3 linked regions of the Oryctolagus cuniculus genome follow. The protein of the gene in region 3 interacts with the protein of the main gene of each other region in a pairwise test. Links are inferred from orthologs where the notes say so. Each region holds a gene or a part of one and is shown on either strand. Other genes may lie near its edges.

Evidence for each region.
Region 1: the proteins of RNF185 (region 3) and UBE2K interact in binary tests that used the Homo sapiens proteins (3 or more experiments, as listed by UniProt). The link is inferred for Oryctolagus cuniculus from reciprocal best matches to the Homo sapiens genes RNF185 and UBE2K.
Region 2: the proteins of RNF185 (region 3) and YIPF2 interact in binary tests that used the Homo sapiens proteins (3 or more experiments, as listed by UniProt). The two-hybrid records come from large-scale screens. The link is inferred for Oryctolagus cuniculus from reciprocal best matches to the Homo sapiens genes RNF185 and YIPF2.

The regions. Positions count from the first base shown.
Region 1 is NC_091433.1:33,548,397-33,554,507, reverse strand, and holds the start of UBE2K (ubiquitin-conjugating enzyme E2 K), read right to left. Parts: upstream 3,948-6,111; 5' UTR 3,876-3,947; coding exon 3,813-3,875; intron 1-3,812. UniProt on the Homo sapiens protein: Accepts ubiquitin from the E1 complex and catalyzes its covalent attachment to other proteins. In vitro, in the presence or in the absence of BRCA1-BARD1 E3 ubiquitin-protein ligase complex, catalyzes the synthesis of 'Lys-48'-linked polyubiquitin chains.
Region 2 is NC_091447.1:66,695,939-66,701,842, forward strand, and holds YIPF2 (protein YIPF2), read left to right. Parts: upstream 1-1,957; 5' UTR 1,958-2,178; coding exon 2,179-2,209; intron 2,210-2,531; coding exon 2,532-2,701; intron 2,702-2,776; coding exon 2,777-2,854; intron 2,855-3,276; coding exon 3,277-3,364; intron 3,365-3,484; coding exon 3,485-3,601; intron 3,602-3,690; coding exon 3,691-3,857; intron 3,858-3,938; coding exon 3,939-4,121; intron 4,122-4,206; coding exon 4,207-4,323; 3' UTR 4,324-4,340; intron 4,341-4,427; 3' UTR 4,428-4,897; downstream 4,898-5,904. Other genes in the region: SMARCA4 (transcription activator BRG1), read right to left, coding at 1,694-1,833; histone-arginine methyltransferase CARM1, read right to left, coding at 5,636-5,796.
Region 3 is NC_091452.1:24,309,909-24,315,870, forward strand, and holds the start of RNF185 (E3 ubiquitin-protein ligase RNF185), read left to right. Parts: upstream 1-2,437; 5' UTR 2,438-2,594; intron 2,595-5,962. UniProt on the Homo sapiens protein: E3 ubiquitin-protein ligase that regulates selective mitochondrial autophagy by mediating 'Lys-63'-linked polyubiquitination of BNIP1.

The sequences.
Region 1 (6,111 bases), on a different chromosome or scaffold from region 3:
CAGTCTTCAGAAATCAAGACTTTCTTCTAGAGATTTGCAACTACTTCTATACAGAATAACCTAGATCAAGCTAGATCAAACAATTTGTAAAATTTAAAATGTACAAAAATTGGCCGGCACCGCAGCTCAATAGGCTAATCCTCTACCTAACGGCGCCGGCACACCGAGTTCTACTCCTGGTCAGGGTGCAGGATTCTTTCCCGGTTGCCGCTCTTCCAGGCCAACTCTCTGCTGTGGCCCGGGAAGGCAGTGGAGGATGGCCCAAGTACTTGGGCCCTGCACCCCATAGGAGACCAGGAGAAGCACATGGCTCCTGCCTAGGGATCAGCACGGTGCGCCGGCCGCAGCGCGCCAGCCGTGGCGGCCATTGGAGGACGAACCCAATGGCAAAAGGAAGACCTTTCTCTCTCTCTCTCTCTATCCACTCTGCCTGTCAAAAAATAAAAATAAAAAACAATAAAATGTACAAAAGTTTGTTTTAACCCTGAAATAAAATATACAAAAGTGTTTTTCATGAAATCAATTTGTTTCTGCCATAGGTTTAAGCATTCTCTAGGAAACTATTAAAAACATTACCAACATGCAGCTACAATGTGAAAAAACTACAGACACCATTTAGCATAAAAACAAGAGTAGATGCATTCAATTGAGAGCTTTTAATTCACAAAAGCTCCAAAGCTTAAAAACTTTTACGTTAATTAGAGGTAACACTTATTTCAGTGAGTTTAAACTAACAAATTAGGTTGCGTTTAAATCCTTTAACTAGCAATGCAAACCCAGCTCAATTATTTTAAATAATTAATAGCATGCCTATCTTCACAAGCCATGACAATGTGGTACAACACAAACACAAGCAGACCTAGATCCAAATCCCAAAGCTGTATGTTCGCAAATAATTTTACTTCTCCTGGATCTCAATTTTCTCATCTCAGAAATCTAAATTCAAAGATTTGTGTTTAAGAATTAACAACAGTGTATAAGCAAATGGCTACAAATGGCAGCTGTTAATACCAGTAATAATTGACGGTAAATAATACAACTTTTGAATAAAATAGAATGGTTTTATAACATCACAATCAACAATTCACCTAATCATCTCAACAACTGAACTCATAACTACAAAATGCACCAATCCAGACAACTTTGAATTATTACCTAAAACTCAATTTTAGAAAATAGTTTCCAACAGCTACAAGATGGATTTCTAACACTGTCCTAAGGAAAACAGGCTTAGATGGTGCCTTTATGTATTTTATTTAGTCTGAACAGATCTCTTCATACCCTATACACCCAACCCCCCTACACAAAAGAAGCTACTTTTACCAATTTCTCATGATGCTTTCACCTGCACAAATACATATTCTAATAGTTGTGTATAACCTCTTGTGACATTAGCTATCTTCACAAAGACACAAAAGGGCTCCCCAAAAAAGGGGGGGTCTTTAAATCAACCACTAGTTTTAGTAAACACAAGAACAGGAAATAAACTTCAGTAAACCAGAGATTCACATAACGTGACATGACGAAATAACTTATTACTGATCGGCCATTCAAAATACTGCATTTATACCCTTACAAAGAACACCAGTCCTTCAATAAGCTGAAAATAATCAACATAATCTACTTATATAACTGGGCCCACTAAAATATTGATGAAAATAAAGCTGTTTATTAGTTATATTTATTTCAAGATTAAACTGCTTGACCTTAACTAAAGGTTCTTCGCAACTCACTTTCTCCGAAGCAGTTTCCTTCCAGATTTATAAAGGTACTTTAAAAATAATTTTGTTTGTATTTCCTGCTTGCTTTCTCTAAAATACTATGACACTTTTAAAAGTAAGGCTCTAGTAGCCCTTACATTTAAAAAAAAAAAAAAAGATTATTTTAACAATATGCACTTCTAGGGTAATACAAGTATTTCTGGTAATCCTCAACTTAAGTCCTTAAGAATACAATGATAAAGTCACCTCACATAAAGCAAAAAGATCACGTGAATTACCTGAAGCAGTAACTTACCACTTTTAAATAATACAAAAAAAAAAAAAAAACACCACAACTATTAGTTCATTAAGTTTCAGGCTTGTACACCCTTATTATAAAGGAAATGTTTTAGGATGTTAGCAACAATATTAGCCGCAATTCTTCATTAGGAATATATACATCAACTACCCTGGAATACATCTTTCTTATCATTACTAAATAGAAAGTTAGTACCACTGTTTCACTGCACACTCTCCAGACATTAATGACTCTATTCTGCATTGTACCACAAAAAATACAAAGTCATCCTTCCATTCAGAGTTTTGGCATATGAACGAACACAAAGGTCAGAGTTCATACACATGCTCTGTAGAGCTGATCATGACTTACGTACTACTATAGTCAATAGATCTGCTAGTATTTGTCATTTTTGAATTTTATAATGATTTTCTCCACATCTGATGTATGGAAAGATGAAATCACAGTAGATTCAATGACACAAATAAAGCTTAAGTGCTATTAGACTATGTCAATTACTCATCACATCCTGGGAAGGCTGAGTGTCACAAATCTTTATTGACATTATCAAAGCAACAATTAGAAAAGACACAAATAGCAATGATATATTCAATAATGACATGGGTGTGGATCTCGAAAATAGTAATTTTCAGTAGTTATGACAAACTGTACTGACACTTGCAGAGTTTCGAGTCAGAATTACTAGGACATTTTAAATACCTTACATAAGTAAATGTGGTCAGAAGTAAGGCATCTAAATTCTGCAGGACTCAACGGCAGAAAAAGACAATTTAAAAATAAAGAATATGCTATGTCAAGAGATGTATATTGAGTTAAACCTACTCAATTAAGAGACAACAATGTATTAACAGGGTGAAATCCTTTGTTTTTAATGGGTCTATTTTTAAAAGACACAAGTTTTAACCATGAGGGACATCATAATGGAGTTTCATGGCCCAACACGAGTCACAGAGGCATTGTCTTGAGACAGTCTGATATGTAACCTGTAAATAATGTTCTCAAATAAGCTACTCATTCACTATTTTTTCCTTAGCTAAAAATATGTAAATATCTTTAATACACTACCTAGCCTCTGCCCCGTTAAAAAGCACTAGATGTCAATAAAGAGGCCTAGGAACTGGGGGGCACGTGGAAAGGAGATAAAGATCTCATTTGGAATTAATTCCCTATCTCAGGTGAAAATTCCTTTATCCCATCCCCCAAACAAGCTAGTATCCCATTATGCCTTTCCTGTCTCCCCACGCCTAACTAGGAGGGAATACCTCTGCATGTCCTTCTCCTTCCCCCAGCACCTCAGGGCTCTCATCGCTCCTCGCCTTCGGAACGGACAGCAAAGGCCTAACAGGCAACAACCCCAAGACCCTTCAGAGTGTGGGCCTTGGAGCAGCGCTGCTCTCCGGATCCAGTTACCACCTTTCCCCTTCCCCCAACCCACTTCCCGGGTTTTCTCAGGCCCGGCCTTGCTGCCTTCCCACACCCCACAGCCACACTTCCAGCTGCTGCCACCGCCTCGAGGCTCGGGAGAGAGAGCTCGTACCCCGCCGCGGAGTGCACCCCTCTTCATCCGCCCCCCCCCAAACCGTACTCCTCCCCAGACCACCCGCCCGCGAGCCGTCCACCCCAGGGCCCTAGAAGGGAGGGGAAGGCGGCGGGAGGAGGAGGGGGAGACGGCCGCTTCCCCACAGGCAAAAGGGCGGCCGCGGGGAGGGCCACCGGGGATATCGGGGTCGCCGCTGGGAGGGCCCGCCCGCCCTGGGCCTTGGTGGGGGAATGTCCGGGAGTTCATTTCTGACCTCCTCGCTCTTCAGCACCTCCTTGAACTCCCGCTTGATTCGCTGCACCGCGATGTTGGCCATGTCTCCGCCCGCAGCTGATTCGTACCCGCCTCCTCCGCCACCGCTACGACCACCGCCACCGCCGCCACCTCTTCCTCCACCGCCTCCTCCCTCGGAGATTCAGATCCCAGCACACGAACACCGCCGCTGCCACCCCGGCCGCCGGGCTCTGCTCTGTGGAATCACCTCCGCGCCCGGCCACCAAAATGGCGCCGGACCCGCGCATGCGCACGACACCGACCCGGCCGGGCGGCGCAGCCGCTCCCGTTGTAGCCCCATACGCCTCAGCCACGAGCCCGCGCCGCGCCGCGCGTCTCAGCCGGAGCTGCGGACGCGTGACTCCGCCCTGCCGGCGTCTGGGGCCGGGCGGGTGCGGCTTCCGCGCTGGCCATCCCTGCCTCGGCCTCTCGGATTCGCCGCTGCGCCCCTGCTTCCCCCCACCCGCGCCTCGCTTGGACGACCCCCAGTGTGGTACTGGCGGGGCTGCCGGCCCCTGGCCTCTGCATGGAGGCCCGAGCCCGGCTGAGGGCTTCCTGCGGCCCCACGCGGCCTGAGCGTCGCCCTGACTCAGCCGGATCCGGGCTGCGTGTGCCCGCCGAGTCTGTGTGAAAGCGCGGCCCCGGTCGGCCCAGGGTCGGTTAGGACAGCCCCAGAAAAGCCACCGCGGTGGCTTGGGTTTTTTTGCTGGTTTTTTTTTTTTTTTTATGGTTTTTTTCTTTGTGGGGGGGAGAGGAGGGCAGAGCATGACTGCCACTCTTAACAATGATCATCTGAGGGACTACCCGTCATTAAACTCAGGGCGGCTATTGTTGGAGCCCATTGCTTCTATTTGAGATAGGTTTCCCCTGGAAAGATCTGAAGTGGGTTTAGAAACCAGATACTGACCGCTAATCTGTGGAACTAAAACCTTGGTTTTCAAACTTGAGTGTTCATCAAAACCCCTGGAAGTTTTTTTCTTTTCTTCTTTTTTTTTTTTAATCGTATTGGTGAGCCTCGTCTTTAGAATGTAGGCTGGGGCCGACGCCGCGGCTCACTAGGCTAATCCTCCACCTTGCGGCGCCGGCACACCGGGTTCTAGTCCCGGTCGGGACGCCGGATTCTGTCCCGGTTGCCCCTCTTCTAGGCCAGCCCTCTGCTGTGGCCAGGGAGTGCAGTGGAGGATGGCCCAAGTACTTGGGCCCTGCACCCCATGGGAGACCAGGAAAAGCACCTGGCTCCTGGCTCCTGCCACCGGATCAGCGCGGTGCGCCGGCCGCAGCGCGCCGGCCGCGGCGGCCATTGGAGGGTGAACCAACGGCAAAGGAAGACCTTTCTCTCTGTCTCTCTCTCTCACTGTCCACTCTGCCTGTCAAAAAAAAAAAAAAAAGAATGTAGGCTGGGCCTAAGGAGGTGCCTAACAAACTCCCTGCCTCTGCTGCTGCTGCTGACGATGAACCACTGGGCCAGGCTTGTGGAAGTCTACGCATTAAGGTGAACACTGGCCAACAGAAGCTCCTTACAGGGATGGTGTTGGGGCCTAGAGCCTGCTAAGGTGGCTGGCGCTAGTAGGCACTCAATCAATATTGAATGTGTAAAAAAAGGAAAATGGTGGAGGTGGATACTCTGTTTGAAAAGCTATTTGACATGGTCGACAGCGCTTGCAGTAAATAAGACGGTTTTGACACCAAGGACTCTTATGAGTAGAACTTTTGGAATGGGGATTAAAGGTCGTAATCACATAACCCAATCAGCAAAATGTCCTATTGCAAAAATACGGCAGCCACATGAATTTAGCAAAAATAACGACAATTGTGGCAGCCAAAAAGGAAGTAGCCGTTGGACATGAATAGTTCGGCAGAGGCACATGGCAAAAGGGAATTTCTTGAATTCCTGCCCCAAAAAGCAAGAGCAGATTTTCTTATTACAATTTTCTCCCCTGCCTGCTCTTTTGGCCAGCTTTGGTTTCCTCGTCTGTGAAATAAGAAAGCTAGAGTTAACGATCTCTTTCAAGTTTTAGAAGTTCAGAGTTACAAGGATCCTCTCAAAACATTTCCTAAGTGGACTAACGTAGACGATTAAAAAAAAAAAAAAAAAAAAAAAAAAACAACCTTCTAGCAGAGCCCCCTAGCGGTCCTACGAGGAGTCAACTATATACTGTACGTAGGTCACGATACAGTGGAGTATTGGCATAATGTAAGTCATGCAATGCTATGTTCCAGTACATTTAAAGCAAATTAAGGTATCCAAATTTTTTAAGCATTTTCCATTTTTACCACTC
Region 2 (5,904 bases), on a different chromosome or scaffold from region 3:
CCAGATTCACTCGGAGCCCAGACAGCAGTAGTGAGTGATCTGGGCAAGAGGTAGGGTCAGAGACGACCACAGCGAGCACCCGACACCACGCTCCGGGCTGTGCAGCGCGGACGAGCCGCGGCGCTGGGCCTGGGAGGCGCAGACCTGAGCCCGGCTCGGCCTGAGGTGGAGCCGCCCACTGCGCAGGCGCTCCGCGCCCAGAACTCAGGCCAGAGGCCACCGCGTGCGCTCTGCACAGAACCACGCTGAGCCAGGCCGCTTCTCCTCCGGGTTTTATTGACCATCACGGCTCCATCGCTCTCCGCGATCCAGCTCTAAGCGCGGTTCCCGTACCCCTCGCGGTCCGGGTCCCGCGCCCTCGCCCACTCCCTTCCATAGAAGTCTTTCTGCGTTGCTGGTTCCCCACAAACCCGGAACCTGCGACTCCCTCGGGTTCCCACACAAAGAGCTTCTTCCTCCACGTCCTCGCCGGCCCCGCCCACACGGCCGGTCACAGCCGGCTGGCGCGGGATGCGGAGACATTCACAGAGAGGAGACAGACCCCTCCCACCCGCAGCTCACTCCCCAGACACCCGCAACAGCAGGAGCTCCATCTGGGCCTCGCACACGGGCGGCCGGGGGCCAGGTCCTGGGGCCCCCACCTGCCGGCCCTGCAGAGCGCGGTGCGCGGGGGGCAGAGCGGCGCCCGCCCCAGTGCGTCCGTTCCTGCGCACGGCTCCCCGTCGGGTCCTGGGGCGCCCACGCGCGCGGCCGATGGGGGGGGGTCGCCCGGGTCAAGAACGCACAGGACGCCTCCACAGTACTTTTCCAGCTTCTATTGCAAAGTAAACACAAGACACAAGCGGGGACGTCCGTCATGCAAACAGGAGGCCAGGTCCACGCACGGGACGAGTCCGACGTCTTCGGCTCGGGGGTCGCGCTCCCGGGCACGGCGCCGCGGGGCTTCACCGCGCGGCCTCCGCCTCGCTCGCGGCGAGCCGGTCTCTCCTCGCCCGCTGCAGCACCTGCTCCTCCCACAGCGCCTGGTCCACCTGCTCCGCGGTCAGCACCACGGGCAGGTACTTCTCGTCGAACAGCCGCTCGTTGGCCTCGGAGCGCAGCTGCTGCGGCCCGACCACGCGCAGGTGCGCGGGCAGGTGCGCGAACTCCTCGTCGTTGACGTCGCAGTCGCGCATCCGAGCGCCCAGCACCCACCAGCGGCCCACGAAACCCACGTCCAGGACCCGGCCCGGGAAGTCGGCCCAGCGGGGCTGCAGGTAGCGGCAGCGAGCCTGGTAGAGGCTGGCCTGGGGGTCGCAGGGCGCCTCGTACACCAGCGAGCAGAGCCCCAGGTTCACGTGGCGCAGGCGCCCGCGGCCCCGAAGCCACAGCAGCCGCTGCACGAAGCCCTCGGCAGGCCGGCTGCGCGTGGCCGGCGCCAGCAGCAGCAGAGTCCCCGACGCGTCGAGCAGCGCCTCCTCGAATGCCGCCTCGCTGGGCGCCAGCGAGCAGCAAGCCGCCGCGCCGCCCAGCAGCGCCGCCCACGCCGCCGCTCGCCCCGGCCGCGCCCGCGCCGCCGCCGCCGCGTCCCGGCAGGCTTCGGCGTAGTCCCTGAGCAGCGCGCGGGCCCAGGCGCCTGGGAGGAAACACGCGCCATCAGAACCGTCCGGGTACGCTGCGGACACCCCCACCGCCGCCTTCCGCCCCTACTTACCCAGCCGCGCCCACACGCCGGGCTTGGCAGCCGCCGCGTCTCCCGCTTCTCGGCGTCCTCGGGCCCAAAACCTCTTCAGAGCGGTCGCCGCCATCCTCTTCCGGTCTGAGGTCCGTTCTCCGGAAGGAAACACCCGGCATCCGAAATAAAAGCTCCGGGCAGTGCCTTCTGCGCACGCGCCCACGCTACCGGACGTGGCTTCCCGCCGGAAGAGTATAGAGAACAGACCGGCGCCGGATGTTGCTGTCCGGAGCGACCCGGCTCGCTTCGAGGGTGGGCGGGCCGCGCAGGCGCACTTAGTCGCAGCCACGCCGGCCGAGGCAGCAGCAGGTGGGCAGGGCGGGGTCCACCTGTAGGGGCCAGGACGGCGAGTGTCAGCGCCCGTGGGTGCCGTTAGCCACTACGCAGTGCTTGGAGCCGGGGCACAGGCCCCGGGAAGGGAGCTCCGTCCTCAGAGCGGGATGCAGTGAGGACGCCCGGCGACCATGGCAGCGGCCGACGAGCTGGCCTTCCACGGTGAGTGCGGCCCGCGCGTGCCCGGCGCCCCCACTGCGGCCCCTGGCCGGGCAGCTTCCGGCTCAGAGTTAACCAGAATCCCAGACGGTGGTAAACCCTGACCCCGGATCTGAAACCCGACCCCCGCGTGAGACCCACCTCCATCCACCTCCACTCGTGCCCCGGGCCCGTGACGTCCCAGGACCCATCCCAGGACGAACCCTACATTGCAGCCCCGGGTTCGCCTAAGGGGACAGCTCTCTTCCCCGTGCCCCCAGACTGGCTCGGGGAAGACCACCGAGGTGGCCGCGCGGTACACCTGCGTCCCATGCGCCCTCCCCAGAGTTCGAGGAAGCCACCAATCTCCTGGCCGAGACCCCCGATGCCGCCACCACGAGCAAGAGTGACCAAGTGACCCCCCAGGGGCACGTGGCAGTGGCCATGGGCTCGAGCGGCAGCTACGGCGCCGAGGAAGAGGAGGAGGCGGAGGAGGAGGGCGGCGACAAGGCAGCGGTGAGTGGCCCAAGCGTGGCCCAAGCGCTCGTGTCCCCCAGGCTGTCGGGCAGGGACTGACGGTGTCGGGTGCAGCTCCTGCAGGAGAAGCCTCAGCCCGGATTCTGGACCTTCGGCTACTACCAGAGCTTCTTCGACGTGGACACTTGGCAGGTGAGGCTGGGGCTTGTCGCGCGCGGGGCTCAGTCCCGAGCTCTCAGGGCAAGGCCTCGGGCCGGGGAAGGGGGTGCCGGGGCAGCAAGGAGGAGGGGAGGAGTGGGCCAGCCAGGAGGTGATGAGAAACCAAGGCTGCAGAGCTGGGACCTGTTCAGGACGGCAGAGCTGGACAGAGGCGCAAAGGCCTGGGGCGGGGCTCCGGGAGGGAGCGCATCCGGAAGGGCCCAGGGCCTGGGGTGGGGACGCACCTGCTGCGCACGGTGGCGCTGCCCTGGGCAGGTGACAGGACCAGCGCTGAGCCGAGAAAGGGTCTGCAGATAAGCCCGGCCGGAAACCCAGGGGGAGAGCTGAGCTCTGCCAGGCGGGGTGGGGCAGGAGGCTGGCAGCACCTCGCGTCCTGACACGGGACTTGCCCCCAGGTCCTAGACCGCATCAAGGGCTCCCTGCTGCCGCGGCCCGGCCACAACTTCGTCCGGCACCGGCTGCGAAACCGGCCGGATCTCTACGGTGAGTTCGGTGGGTTGTGCGTCCAGCCCGTGTGGGCGGGGCAGGGCCATCCCTCGGAGCTTCCCTTCAGGACGGCAGAGCTGGACAGAGGGGTCACCCACCCGCGGACGCCCCCCACAGGCCCCTTCTGGATCTGCGCCACCCTGGCCTTCGTCCTTGCTGTCACTGGCAACCTGACCCTGGTGCTGGCCCAGCGGAGGGACCCCTCCATCCACTACAGCCCCCAGTTCCACAAAGGTGAGCAGGCTGGCAGGCCCAGCACCCGCAGGGCTGGGGTGCCGTGGGGCGCCGGGCGCGTGACCGCCTCCTCCTCCCCTCCCCCACAGTGACCGTGGCAGGCATCACCATCTACTGCTACGCGTGGCTCGTGCCGCTGGCGCTGTGGGGCTTCCTGCGGTGGCGCAAGGCCGTCCGGGAGCGCGTGGGGCCATACACCTTCCTGGAGACTGTGTGTGTCTACGGCTACTCCCTCTTCGTCTTCATCCCCACGGTGGTGAGAGTGGCCCCCAGAGGGGGTGCCGGGGGGTCTGCGGGGACTGCCTGGCACGGCCGCCGGCTGCCATCTTGTCCCCAGGTCCTGTGGCTCATCCCCGTGCCTTGGCTGCAGTGGATGCTGGGGGCGCTGGCCCTGGCGCTGTCGGCCGCCGGGCTGGTGTTCACCCTCTGGCCCGTGGTCCGGGAGGACAGCAGGCTGGCGGCCGCGGCGCTGCTGTCCACGGTGGTGCTGTTGCACACCCTGCTGGCCATGGGCTGTAAGGTACAGTGGGGCTGACCCGGGCGGGGCCGCGGGGCTGGGAGCCGGCCCGCCAGCCGCGGGGCTAACCCCGGGGGTCTCGGGTCAGCTGTACTTCTTCCAGCCGCTGCCCCCACAGCACGTGGCCGTGCCTCCCCATGCCACAGCTCTGGGCGTGAACACGCTGCTGCCGGCCACACCAGCCCAGGCCACGGCAACCTCTTAGGACCCCCGAGCCCGCAGGTGAGGAGCTGCTCCCGGCCAAGGCGGTGGGGGCCGGCCCCTGCCCCAGGCGAGACGCACAGGGGCTTCCCGGGGCTTCTCTTTCAGGCCGCACCAGGGGCCCCCAGATAGCGACCCAGGCCTCGCGGGACGCCTTGAGGGCCCTCCGCCACGTCCAGACTTTTCTTACAAAGCAAACACTTTTATTTTCTATGCAAAGGTGATTCAGAGAATTTATATAAAGGCGGTAGGGAGGGACAGCCGAGCAGGGAGCTTCCAGCGCAGGGCCAGGGGGGGCCTCGCCCCCGCCCCCGCCGGCCCCGCCCTCCCCCTCCCTGCCTCCCGAGGCCTCGGGCCTGGCTGTGCTCGGGGCCTCGACACGGGGACAAGTACAAGAAAACTGCCTGTGCTGACATCCATGTCCTGCTTGGTTTATTTTTTTCTTTCTTTTCTGTGTCTGGAGGGAGAGGTCCCTTCCCAGGCTGGGAGGGGCCGAAATGCCATCATGGTATAGGGACTGGAACGGCAACACAGGCCTAGGGTTAGCTAGAGGAAGAGGACGGGACGCCCCCCCCAGCCCCGGGGCGCAGCGCCAGGTGTCCGTGCCTGTCCCGGGGCGCTGGGACCTACCCTCCAGGCCACCGGTCTAGCACGGGGCGCGGGGCGGGGCGGGATGGGAGCAGCAGGAGGCGGGGGCTGCGGACGGAGCCTCCAGGCAGCCAGGGTGGGTTGTACATTCAAGTGTGAGGTGAACCCTTGGGTGAGGAGGGGGTCCCAGGGCCTGGCCCCACCCGGCCCTGAGGACCCTGCAGGGCCGCCCCCCCGCCCCGGCACCCCCCCCCCGCGCCCCGCCACTGAGCCTCTGAGTCCGAGGGGGGGACGGGGGCTGCTGGCTGGGCCCGGCCGGCCGGGTTTCTCAGAGGATCTGTGGATTGACACTGGTTCTTTTCGTAAAAAAATAAAATTAAAAAAAGCAGCATGTCACGCCCGTGGTGACCAAGGCCTGGGAGCTGAAGGGGGCCCCGCCCAGCCGGGCCGGGCGGCAGCTGCGCCCGCCTCCCACCCCGACCGGGCGCAGCTGTGGGCCCCGCGGGCCGCGACAGATGTCAAGGCCAGGTCGGGGGGCTGGGAGAGGGGGACGAAGGCGCCCCTGACGGGATGGCAGCGGCGCGCGCTCGTGGGCAGGGGGGCGGCGGCAACACGGTGTAAAAAAGTGTCCAAGTTCCCATAGCAAAGAGGGCTGTGACGGGGTGTTCGGGCTGCTCCAGCAGGGGCGTCATTTGGTTTCCTGGTGCTGTCGCGGGCGGCCGCGGCGCCTAGCTCCCGTAGTGCATGGTGTTGGTCGGGAGAGACAGGGGCGAGGCCATGGAGATGGCAGGGCCGCCCATGGTGAACTGGCTGTTGACCGCATAGTGGGCGCTCGAGCCGCCGCCGCCGCCCTGGGCGCCCGAGGAGCCTGTGGGGCAGGGCGTGGGCACTGAGGGGCCGCCGTGGCCCCCCGGCCCGCCCGCCGGCCCCCCCAAGCCGAGAGAGAGAGCGCGTGCAGGCGGGCGGCGCACTGGCAGGCCGGCGCGGCCCCCCGCCC
Region 3 (5,962 bases):
CTCCTTCAGTCACGTTGGGCGCCAGATGTTGAGGTTGATTTGTTCTGAGAAGAGGAGGAGAACTAGCACGGTGGGGGCAAGAGGCGCAGAGTCACCACACAGACCCCGGGAGCTGGGTGAAAGCCGGCCAGAGGTGAGCAGCATGCAGACTCTTTTATTTCAGTTGGTACAGCAACTTATATAGCCAAGGCATCCAATCCGGTCAAGGGGCGGTCTATGCCCTAACCAATCATAGCCTGTTGCCAGGCAGGCTTTGTTGTCAGCAGCCATCTTGGCATGGCCTTATTCCACGTCTCTCTCTCTCTGCCTCTCCTCTCTGTGTAACTCTTTCAAATAAATAAATAAATCTAAAATAAATAAATAAATAAATAAAAGAACTCCAGAGAACCACTCTATGGGTGCAAATCGCAGCTCCGTCAACTATCAAGGTATGATTTGATAGAATACACATTAACAGCTAACCCATGAACATAGTACAGTTTGGTTAGTTGTCTCAATATTATCCATTATAGTTATTCCAGTTTAGAATAACACCTCACACTTTCCTGTCATGATTCTTAATTCTCCTTTAAACTGGGGCAGTCCCTCAGTTTTCCATTTCACTGACAGTTATTTTGTAGTGTCCCTCGATTTGGATGTATTTGATGCCTATTCATGCGATTTGGACTATGCACGTTTCACAGAGATACCACAGAACATACGTTGTGTCCTTCTAAGTATGCTAAAGTAGCAAGGTAGACATAAGCGTATGTGTGCAAGAGGGGCCAAAGAAAATGGAATTTTTAAAGAAAATGAATTTATGTGCAATGGAATGAGGAGATAAGCTCTGAAAGCAGACCAACAATCACACCTAAAGTAATCACTCTTGTTCAATAACTCCGTTAGATGGGTTTCAGGGCCAGCACCGAGCTCAATAGGCTAATCCTCCACCCAGCGGCGCCGGCACACTGGGTTCTAGTCCCGGTCAGGGCGCCGGATTCTTTCCCGGTTGCCCCTCTTCCAGGCCAGCTCTCTGCTATGACCAGGGAGTGCAGTGGAGGATGGCCCAAGTGCTTGGGCCCTGCACCCCAGGGGAGACCAGGAGAAGCACCTGGCTCCTGGCTTCGGATCAGCGCAGTGCGCTGGCCACAGCGTGCCAGCCATGGCGGCCATTAGAGGGTGAACCAACGGCAAAGGAAGACCTTTCTCTCTGTCTCTCTCACTATCCACTCTGCCTGTCAAAAATAAAAAAATAAAAATAAAAAAAGAGTATGTAGAGATAAAAAAAAAAAAAAAAAAGATGGGTTTCAGCCCTGTCCCTGGGTGCCGCTTAGGGGAATCTCCCCTGCCCTGCACCAACAGGGCTATTAGGTCCAATAATACTGTGCTGGGAGGCTTTTTGGAAACTCCATATCCAGCCAACTCCCCTACCCAGTAATTTCTCATCAGAGGGAGGAGAGGAAGAGAAATAGGTGGATCCACACTTATATCCATAAAAAAATCCAGTTCAAAATGGACTAGACACTCAATTCTTTTCTGAGTCACCTGCCTGGTCTGAGTCTCCCATCTGTGTAGCAGGGACCCAACCACCTCCAGCCATGACCTGCTGCCTCCCAGTCAACATTAGTAGGAAGCCGGAGTCAGGAGTAGTGCCGGGATTCAAACCCACTCTGAAGTGCATGCAGGTGTTCCAAGAGATATCTCATCCACAAGGCGGACACTATTACTGTGTAAATACCCTGCTTCCCTTACTTCGCCATTCATTATTGCTATTCTAAATCCAACATGTTTAGTCATCGGTATTCTGCTGAAAGGAAGAGTTTCTTTCTCTCCAATTATTTGTTCACATATTTACTTTAGTAAAGACTCATGGAGTATTATTCACTTAGTTATACTCTACTACTTTTTTTTTAATAAGTTGTGTCTTTTTAAAAGATTTATTTATTTATTTAATATTTAAAAGGCAGAGTTACACAAAGAGAGAGGAGAGGCAGAGACAGAGGGGTCTTCCATCTGCTGGTTCACTCCCCAATTGGCCGCAATGGCTGGAGCTGCGCCAATCCGAAGCCAGGAGCCAGGAGCTTTCTCTGGGTCCCACGCGCAGATGCAGGGTGCTTTCCGGCAATAACAGAGAGCTGGACTGGAAGTAGAGCAACCGGGTCTCGAACCGGCACCCATATGGGATGCCAGCACTTCCGGCCAGGGCTTTGACCCGCGGCGCCACAGCGTCGCCATCGCCCCCCACCCCCCATCATTCTTATTAGCATCATCCTTACATGCTGGTACAACAAGATGTTCCAGGTTTATCCGATACTTTCCGAAACAACTTTTCCTTCAAGCAGCCCCAACCCCCAGCTCCCCTGAAAAACCGCCTCCTGCCGGCAAGCGGAACCTTAAAGCCCCTCTCCTGGGCCGGAGAACAACGCGGCGGACAAGCCTTTTCCGGTTAGGGCCGGAAGTCCTTCGGAAAGGGGCGGTTCCGTGTCAGGTGATCAGAGTTCGCGTAGGAGGGGTCAGAGGTCCGATCCTAAAGACTGACGGGGCGGTAGGACCGGCCAGTCGCGGACAGACCGACAGCCTGGCACGGCCTTGGAGGCGATAGCTCCGCGGAGGAGGTACGAGAGGGGCTGGGGAAGCTGCAGGGGCCGTCGAGAATGGGGGACGGGGACGGGAGCCCCAATTCTGAGGCTCGCGGGCTGCGACACCCGAACCCGGGGGCCCAAGCCCAAGCCCGGGGTTCTCCGCCGCAGAAGGAAGGTCGGCTGGCGTTGTAGTGTTCCGTCTCCTGATCACAGGGTGGGGAAACTGAGGCCTTGAGAACGGGAATTGCTCCCATGAGTTCTTTCCGGCCCGGGCCGGGAGCGGGGGGCGCACCCTGACCCCTTTCTGCCTCACGCGGGGCCGCCTCTGTCTCTTGTCGGGGTGCGTGGAGCGAGCTGGAGCCGAGGCGGGAAGGCCGAGACCGCGGAGCGTGAGGAACCGCACTGGGCTGAAAGAGACTCGGGTTCGAGTTCTGGGCCAGATGTCTTCGCTGGACTGCGCCTCAGCCTTCTCATTTGTAAAATGGGGGCAGTGTGCCCCCAGATATGGTCCTTAGCACCTTGTGTTTTGAAACCGCCTGGGATGCCGGCTTGACAGTTCCGGACTCGAATCGGACATCTGGCTTGGAGTCTGGGCGGGAACCTGGGGAGCCTAAGGCTTGCGAGTCCTGTCCACACGGCTGTTTGGCGCCGGTTCATTCTCTGCGCCTGGCTGCGCGGAGTGCTGGGTCCTTGTTCCTGGCTTGACAGCAACTGAAGGCAGTTCGGGAACTTTGAACGGACTGGGCGGTTTAACGTGGACAAGAGAGCACTCGCTAGAACAGAGCTGTCTTTAAAAACCGGAGGGGGAAAAAAAAAAGTTAGGGTGAAGTGGGCTTCTGCTTTGTCTTTAAGGCAGAATTAGGAGCGGGCAGTAGGTGGATTCTACAGAAAGATTTTTACTTGGGAGAGTGGTCAGAGATGACCAGCGGTAGAATGGATTGGCTGCAAGGGTTGCAGGGAACATACAGGTGTTGGGCAGAAGTCCCTTCCAAGATCTCTGATTCTGAGTAGTTATTTTGCAGCTTTCTGGTGCTGACTCAGCCCCCGAAGTGTGACTTTTTATTTTATTATTATTATTTGCTCTGCTCTTGACATCCCCCCCTGCAGTAAGTGAGGCCGACACGCCTGCCCTTATGTAATCTCTTCCTGGTTGGCCTGTGCACCATCCTTCTTTTCGAGGACTTTGGAATGACCCAGTATCTGATAGATGTTTGTTATGAATAACTAAACAGGGTCCCACCCCATCCAGTTAGTAGCTTATTTTTTAAGAACAACTTGGAAATGGCACTGAAGACCTTGTATTTGACCAGGAGAAGGCAGTGAGTTTTTGGGTCACAGAGCCGAGGGGCCGAGAGTGGAAAGGTCTCTTCAGGTTGTTTAGGCCAGCCTTCTCCCTGGAATATTCTCCCTCTTTAATTCTCTCTTCAGCATTGTCTATATAGACGTGGATTTTTGCATGGAGGGTAGCTTTAAATTTTTTTTTTTTTAGATTTATTTGTTTATTTGAACTGCAGAATGACAGAGTATGCACGAGCAAGGTCAAGATGTATTTTCCACCCACTGATTTCACTCCCCAAATGGCCACAAGAGTCAGGACTGAGCCAGGCGGAAGCCGCGAGCCAGGAGCTCCATGTAGGTGGCAGGGGCCCAGGCACTTGGGCCACCATCTGTTGCCTTCCCAGGTGCATTAGCAGGGAGCTGGATTGGAAGTGGAGCAGCCAGGACCCAGTGTGAGATGCTGGCGTCTCAAGCAGCGGCTTAGCCCACTGCAGCGCCACGCTGGCCCTATAGGCTGGCTTTCTGTCCAGTAGGTAGAACCATCCTTTTATTGCCCTGACTTGCCATCCCACCTCCCTGTAATCTGCACGTGATGCTTCTCGCTTATTTTTAGTTTTCTAATCAAACATCAGATTTCCTCACCTTGTGGCTTTACCCAACTCCAAGTAGATCACTTTTCCAATGCCTGTTTCGAAACGCTTATGTTGTCTTATGGAGCACAGATTCCATATTATGACCAAATTCTGCTGTTGCTCCCCTCAACCCCCAAACAAAAAGGGTTGAAGTTGAGCCAAAACCTGCCCTTGTTTATCCTTATGTTTGTGTTTCTCAAGATTAAAAAAAAAAAAAAAAAAAGTTGTGAAATGCTGTCTCAGATGTTATCCAGGTGATAGGTACAATACTCTTTTTTTTTTTTTTTTAAAGATTTGTTTACTTATTTGAAAGGCAGAGCTACACAGAGAGAAAGAGAGACAGAGATTGTCCTAGCTGGTTCACTCCCTAAATGGCTGCAGTGGCCAGGGCTGGATCAGGCCAAAGCCAGGAGCTTCATCTGGGTCTTCCACATGGGTGCAGGGGTCCAAGTACTTGGGCTGTCTTCTGCTGCTTTCCCGGGTGTGTTAGCAGGGAGCTGGATTGGAAGTAGAGCAACCGGGACTTGAACTGGTGCCCATATGGGATGCCAGCACTGCAGGCAGCAGCTAATCCACTTTGCCACAATGCCAACTCCAAAATACTCCTTTTTTTTTTTTTTTAAGATTTATTTATTATTTAAAAGTCAGAGTTACACAGAGAAGCATGGGGAGGGAGGGGTCTTTCATCTGCTGGTTCACTCCCTAATTGGCCGCAACAGCCGGAGCTGGGCCGATCCGAAGCCAGGAGCCAGGAGCTTCTTCCAGATCTCCCACGTGGGTAGCAGGGGCCCAAGGACTTGGGTTATCCTCTACTGCTTTCCAGGCCATAGCAGAGAGCTGGATCAGAAGTGGAGCAGCTGGGACTTGAACTGGTGCCCATATGATATGCCAGCACTATAGGTGGCGGCCTTACCTGCTACTCCACAGCGCCAGCCCCCTGAAATACTCTTGATTTGTTGGAGTTTTTAGAACATCTCATTTCCTTTTAGAGAAGTACGTGAATTAGTGTTTTTGTAAGGGTGTTCTTCAGGCTACTGGTCTGAAGGAGTGTTTCTGAATAAAGGGTTCGAAGGCGAAAATAAGTTTGGGGAAAATGACATGACATTCGTATCAGTCGGCTTTAAGTGACTACAGTAAAAACCTGGAGAGAAAACTGCTTAGGAAGGAGAGTTCACTTTGGCTCCTGGTTCTGGAAGTTCACAGTCCAAGACTGAGGCTCTGTTGATTTGGCCTGTGATTAGGCCACTTGGCAGCAGCAGAGCCTTGTGGAGGAAGGATCATGGCAAGCCAGAGAGCAGACAGGCTGTGTCCCACTAGGCTTTACAACCAACCCTCTCTCCAGAGTTACCTTCTCGGGGCTGGCATTGTGGTGCAGTGGGTTAAGCTGCCACCTGTGATGCCAGAACCCCATACTTGAGCCTGTTCAAGTTCTGTCTGTTCCTCTTCTGATCCAGCTTCCTGCTAATGTGCATGGGAAGGCAGCAGACAATG